Linked DNA regions of Tribolium castaneum. The protein of the gene in region 1 binds, or shares a complex with, the protein of each later gene. Links are inferred from orthologs where the notes say so. Each region holds a gene or a part of one and is shown on either strand. Other genes may lie near its edges. The genes, in order: ubiquinone biosynthesis protein COQ4 homolog, mitochondrial; Coq7.

The links.
Region 2: ubiquinone biosynthesis protein COQ4 homolog, mitochondrial (region 1) and Coq7 share a complex: the UniProt entries of both Caenorhabditis elegans proteins name them as parts of the multi-subunit COQ enzyme complex. The link is inferred for Tribolium castaneum from reciprocal best matches to the Caenorhabditis elegans genes coq-4 and clk-1.

What each region holds. Positions count from the first base shown.
Region 1 is NC_087394.1:37,003,207-37,007,143, reverse strand, and holds the end of ubiquinone biosynthesis protein COQ4 homolog, mitochondrial, read left to right. Parts: intron 1-1,190; coding exon 1,191-1,342; intron 1,343-1,387; coding exon 1,388-1,557; intron 1,558-1,608; coding exon 1,609-1,738; intron 1,739-3,188; coding exon 3,189-3,282; intron 3,283-3,326; coding exon 3,327-3,495; 3' UTR 3,496-3,551; downstream 3,552-3,937. Other genes in the region: Gorab (RAB6-interacting golgin), read left to right, coding at 3,752-3,827, 3,879-3,937. UniProt on the Caenorhabditis elegans protein: Lyase that catalyzes the C1-decarboxylation of 4-hydroxy-3-methoxy-5-(all-trans-polyprenyl)benzoic acid into 2-methoxy-6-(all-trans-polyprenyl)phenol during ubiquinone biosynthesis.
Region 2 is NC_087398.1:2,222,096-2,224,841, forward strand, and holds Coq7 (5-demethoxyubiquinone hydroxylase, mitochondrial), read right to left. Parts: upstream 1,491-2,746; coding exon 915-1,490; 3' UTR 838-914; downstream 1-837. Other genes in the region: bifunctional peptidase and (3S)-lysyl hydroxylase JMJD7, read left to right, coding at 1,556-1,619, 1,720-1,891, 1,941-2,105, 2,260-2,426, 2,481-2,746. UniProt on the Caenorhabditis elegans protein: Catalyzes the hydroxylation of the 5-methoxy-2-methyl-3-(all-trans-polyprenyl)benzoquinone at the C6 position and participates in the biosynthesis of ubiquinone.

The DNA.
Region 1 (3,937 bases):
CTTTTGGAGTGTTTTGAATTGTAATAAGGAAAAGATTATTTTATTAAATAATGTTGCAACACTTGGTCACTTTGACATAATACAGTGGTTTTAAATTACGGATATATCCAGGTACAATATAAACAACTATATTATTGTGCATGTGGATAAAGTTACGTCTGACAGAACCATGCCTTCAAAGTATACATATTTCGTGTTTTTGAATTTATGTTAACAATGTTTACAAGAAAATAGAACATGTCAATATAATATAATTCTAATTTTCTAATTTTTTTTCTAAATTCAAGACATTTTTCAAAAACGCAATAGTGTTTATAAACATAGTTTTTAAATTAAATTATACAAAATTAGTGAATTTATTTAAATTCTAGTAATTTAGGTTCGTTGAGTCGGTGTTTTTCTATAGTTAAAGATTAAAATATTTAATAAATCAAAGTTTAGAAAAATTCTAAGAAAAAGTCTCACAATAGTACGAATTATTAAACAAAGTAACAAAAAAATAAACTTAAATTTTGCGTCACATGTGAAATTGAATTCATCGTAGTTTTCGAAATCTGTTGTAATGAGGTTTCACTGCAATAAAAAAATTGCATGTTCAGACTGAAAAAATAGAATAACGAATTTTATTTTCTAAATTCTAACAGATTAGAAATTTAATTGAAGGCATGGTATTTCGTATGGTTATTTTTTTTAAATAAACATTTGGTGATTCTGTTTACATTTACTAGACTGTACAATTTACATTTGCCAGTTGTTTCCATAACTTTTAGTTTTAATTTCAAAATATCACCTTGGATTAGTTAAAGCACATTTTATCTAAAAACTATTTTACGGTCTTGCGTCAGTAATTATTTATTTATTGCGCCTATAAATACCGATAGTGTGTTTAAAAGGACTCAAATTTAAGCTTCCGTTGACTGGAGACCCTATTATTTAGTGCCATCAATCGTGTACTGATTATTTAGTTACGACTAGTTTAAATTTATTATAAAATATTACCAAAGTTTTATCTCATTAATAACACAATGTACCAAATTCCGTTGCAATGTCGATAATCCTGTGATTTTAATGTCGATAATATTATAATAAATAGACACAATTTATTTTAATTGTCTCGTTTCATTGTGGGCCCTTGATCAATTCCAGATGCTCCGATTGCGTAACAATTTGAAATTAAGTCGCCAAATAAGCACGAATTTTGATAAATTCGAAAGCGATTTTCACAAAAATCACATTCCGATCAATGACTTTCAACGGGGACTTCTCGCTATGGGATCGGCTTTGATGTCATTAGTCGATCCATTTCGGCATGACATGATCGCCTGTTTGGGAGAGACTGCAGGTAATTTTAATTACCTCGTATTTAACACACTTAAGTAATTGTTAGGAATGTCCGCCATCACTTACATGAAGCAAAAAATGGAGAGTTCACCAGAAGGCGCCGAAATTCTCAAATCACGTCCGAGGATCAACTCAAAAACTGTCGATTTAAACAAATTAAGGACATTTCCTGAGGGAACCCTCGGTCGTGTTTATGTTAAATGGCTCGATGATAATGTATTAATTATTTTAGGGTGTTTTTATTTTTTCGGTGAGATTTGTTTGTAGAATGTTACGCCCGATTCACGTATGGCTGTTCAATTTGTCGATGACATTGATTGTGCGTACGTTTTGCAACGCTATAGAGAAGCGCATGATTTATTTCATGCCGTTTTGGAAATGCCCACAAATATGTTAGGTGAGAGAAGTGAATTAATGCTTAGGTCATCAAAATTCGATGATTACATCGCAATCAGACACGAAGGTTGTTTATGCGAATAACTGAGATAAATAATAATTACATAGTTGGTTTTGTTGCTTCTGACACGTGTCTTTTTTCCATTAATTTGGCATTTTTCTATTCTCAGTGGTAGAATTAAACTTGCTTAAGATAAGATAAGACAATTATTACAAATGTGAGTCCACAAAAATAATTCTGTTTAAGTAGATTCTGACTAAATTAGTTTTATGCCAGATTCTTAATTAAAAAAAAACTGAAAACTTTAACTAAAACAAATAGAAAATCGTTAAAGTAGATAATGTGTCATCTGCTGCAGAATTGGGAAAGTCAATGAATTATTAACGAATTCCAAAATTAAATTTACTGCTAATTTCGAAAAAAACTGGAAAAACTAAATAGAATGTTGTAAAATTATTAACAGAAATGTATTACTTTCCATGAATTGATGGTTTTAATATTTAACAGAGAATTATAGAAACTTTTTATCAAAAAAAATTTGAGAATTTGTCAAAACATTGTAGAAATACAGGTAAATTAGGTCTGAATTTTTTTATTAATTTAGGAAACTTTTTAGTGACTTACTAAATTAATTAGAAGTATTTTGCCAAAACAGGGCAGAAAATCGAATGCACTATTTTTGTTTATTTAGGAACATTTTTCAGTGAAAGTGACTTTTTCCAAAACAAAAATATTTTTACAAAAAATCATAAAATTAACTATAAAATGTGTTTTTTGAGCTGGTTTTAATTGATTTAGAAAGTTTTTTGACGAGAATTTCCTTTGAATCCGAAAGACTTTGTCGAACAAAAGTAAAAAATTGCAAGATTAACACATTACTCTCTAAAAATTTAAGACAATTTCTGACGCAAAATTTGTAAATAAAATGCGTTGCTTTTTTTGGCGAGAAATTCACTAATTTCTAAAGGTTTTGTTGAAACAATGCAGAAGATATTTGCATAATTATCGCTAAATTAAGTTAATTAAAATTAACGATAAATTTACAAAATCTGAAGGTCTAAAGTGTTGCTCGGAATTTGGGAGCATTTTTGGGTGACTTGACGTTGTGGAATTTTATATATATATTTTTTTGAACTCAGTGCCCCAAAAATAGCAGAAATTAAACTTTCATTATTGTGTAAAGTAGAGTTATTATCTATGGCAGAATTATCCTTTTTCAGATAAGATATTTTAAGATAAAATAAAGAACATTTATTATGAATATGACCATTCAAAAACACTTCTGTTTAAGTAGATTAGAACAGATTAAATTATGAGTTGAATTAACTCTAATCTAGGAATTTTTTAAATTACGAGATTTTTGGCATTTTCCAGCTTTAGATTTTTCAATTTAAATTATTAAAAAAAATACAAAAAAAAATAGTTAGGGTTCAAATAAAATTAATTATAGGTGAAGTAACTGTTAAATGGTACGAAGCGATTCAAACAAGGCTTCCAATGTGCATTGGAGCGGCTATTTTTGGCCCAATTCGACTAAAACCAAAGTGAGTAATTTTTTAAAATAATTTTTGTCAACACATTATTTTAGGCATCGCAACTTGTATAAAAAGTATTATCTTCCATGGGCAATTGAAACAGCAAATAGTAGTAATTTTTTGCTAAATACATTTTTTGAAAAACGGTGGGAACAACCATTGGCTGAATTACACCAAGAATTAAACATCAAACCGTTTATTTTACCACAAACTAGGAGTTAATTATTTATTTGCGTTGAATAATAGTTGTGTAGTTTATTAATAAATGATTATCCTTGCTTATGACGTTATTATATTTACCTCGAATTCTTTGATGCTTAATAATTTACGGAAATCGTGAGTGGGTTTGCGCATGTGCGACTTAAATCATAGCTTAAGCACAAGTTTAATGCACTCTCCCTTCCATTTAATTTTGACAGTTTGCTGTGTTGTCAAATAACCTAAATGTGTCATTTTGAAAAGGAAAAAAGTCATTATTATGTCATTTTCGGGCTTTAGCGAAGATGATATTCGCAAATTAACTAAAGCTCCAGATGTTAATAAGCCACAGAAAGGTATAAACTAATCACAATTACTGTAATTTGGTTAATTAATTTTAATTGAAGGTTCTCACAAAACTGCCTTAAAGAAAGTAACTTTTAAACCAAATAACACAAACACAACT
Region 2 (2,746 bases), on another chromosome or scaffold:
AGCGATATTCATAACAGAATTATTCTACTACACGAACGTCGGTGGTGTAGTAAGCTTGATGCTATTTATAGCAAACTCATTAAATCATCAAATTGTAAATAGAAATAAAATTTTCGGTTTTATTCATTCATGCACCCTATGTCTGCTCCATCCAAGATTACAATTACAAATAAGCTGTGATCACTGAATATTTTTTAAAGTATAAGTACACATTTATTACCATAGAATGAATGGACTAAAAGAATAAAAAACCGCAAGCAAATGGTTTGCGGAGTTTGTCGTTTATTTGAAATTATTTATTATCAGTTTTTATGATACATATTTCATTGAAGTAAGCATAAAATTAAACATTTCTAAGCGCAAACAATGAGTTGTAAAAAATTATTTTTACTTTTTAACGTTTTCACAATAACTCAAAATTTTAAATGTGTTGCTTCTGCTCGTAAAAGAGATATACACCATAATTACAGGCAGAATAATTTGTTAATAGAGCTAATGGTTTTCAAGTGGAACTTTGAAGGCTTGACGCAATTCAAAGCCTAAAATATTCAGCACAATTTCACTTCAAAACGTGCTATTATAACGCTGTAATTCGGCGCGTCTTTGTAATTTAATTAAGTAATTTAAAAAAAGAGTTGCAAAAGTATTATTTGTTTTTGCTTATGCAACCAAGAATACTAATGTGTGTGTATGCAAACCTTACTCAAAAAAGCCTCTCAAAATACAAAATTTAACTCAATTTACGCTGTTTTAGAAAAAAATAATAGTTTGACCTTTCCAATTTTTGTTTTTTTTTTCGTATTTTTATTGTTCAGGAGGTGAATGATAACAGAACAATTAACTTGAAATAGTATCTTTATTTAAAAAGTAAAGTCACAGACATTTATTTACAATAATAAATACACTGAGACAGTTTAAATGACTTTGGAGATGGCTATGGCCCCCTTGCACCCCAACTTGATCGCCTCAGTCAGAGCCTTATAAAAGGGCGCCTGCTCAGCCCCATGATCAATCCCACAATCATGGTGTTCCTGCTCCTCATCCCTAAACCTCGTAATAGTTTCCAACAACTCTTTATTCGCCTCAGGATCCTCCATCAGCTCCCTTAGCTGATCGTTATAATGATCCACAATAACCGTCTCGACAGCCACAGTGCACGCCATCGCTGCTTTGTCCCCCAAAAGGGCAGTCCCTGCCCCCAGAGCAAACCCAGCCACTTTCCAAATTGGAGTCATTACAGTGGGCCTGACGCGATGTTTTCTTATCAATTCCTCAAATTTGGCCCTATGGCCCTTTTCCTGGTCCCACATGTGTTTGATGATGGGGCCTTTGGAGGTGCTCCCTAACACTGCCATTTGACCGGCGTATATCACATCAGCCCCCAATTCACCGGCATGATCGACACGAATTATTTCCTCGATCTTGCATTTTGAGGATACCGAGCGCGTGAGGAGCCTCAAAGGGGCGCTTTGGGGGCGAAATGCGAGCATTATTGCGTTGTAAACAGGCGGCTTGAAACAGAACCTCACTTTTTTGGCAGGAGAAGCTCAAAATTATGTGTGATAAGACCGATAATAAAGTTGCAGAGGCGTTGGAGGTTTTGAAAACTGAGACCTCAGGTAATAATTGACATGTTTTAGGTACTGTCCCGGTGTAAATTTCACAAATTTGGAAAAAATTATGACATAACCTCGGTTTTTGTTTTTATTATTATTTTAGAATTGATACATGTGTGCCCCGAAGTTCCCGTGATTAATGTTAATGAGACTTTGAAGGCTGATTGGCCGTTGCGTTTTTATCGAAACTTTGTGGCCAAAAATTATCCAGTCGTGATAAGAGGCGGTTGTAAACATTTTCCAGCAGTATCAAAATGGAATTCACGATTTTTTTTGTAAAATAATTTAAACATCTAGACATGTTTTGCAAGGGTTTTATTGTAGGGAGGCCATTCCAAATAAAGAGGTGACAGTTGCCGTTACCCCTAATGGGTATGCGGATGGTTTGGCCACAAAAACCACAGAAAAAGGCAAAGTTCATTATTTTGTAATGCCGGAAGAAATCAAAATGCCGATGAGGGAGTTTATTAAAAAAATGGACGATGTCAGGTCAGTTAAATTAAATTATTTGAAATCGTCAAGTAGGTTTTAAAGTGTCGGGTTATCCTTGTTGTCAGGTTGGTAAACGTCGTTCAAAATTCAGTAGCAGTTTTGCCAATATATTTTTTTAATTTTTATAGTCATTTATTTAAAAATGTTTCAGTAAGCAATACATTTGCTACATTCAGAAACAAAACTCGAATTTGACTGAAGACTTTAGTGAGTTAATGTGCGACGTCCAGTCTGAAATTCCTTGGGCTTCTAAGGCTTTTGACAAAACTCCAGATGCTGTGAATTTTTGGATGGGTGATGCACGTGCTATTACTAGTAGTAAGTGCTTGGAATATTTTAAAAATTATTGTAAAAGCCAGCAAAAATTTTTAGTGCATAAAGACCCTTATGAGAACATTTATTGCGTGATAGATGGTTTCAAAGACTTTATACTTATCCCTCCAACTGATTTGCCATATGTACCATATAAAACGTATCCTGTGGGAACGTACAAAGACGTAATGAACAAGAAATGCTTCATTGAAGACCACAAAGGGGAAAAAATTGAATGGATCGCTATTGATCCTTTAAAAAGAAATCACCACGACAAATATCCACAATTTAAAAACGCAACTCAGTACAAAGTTCGGATAAAAAGC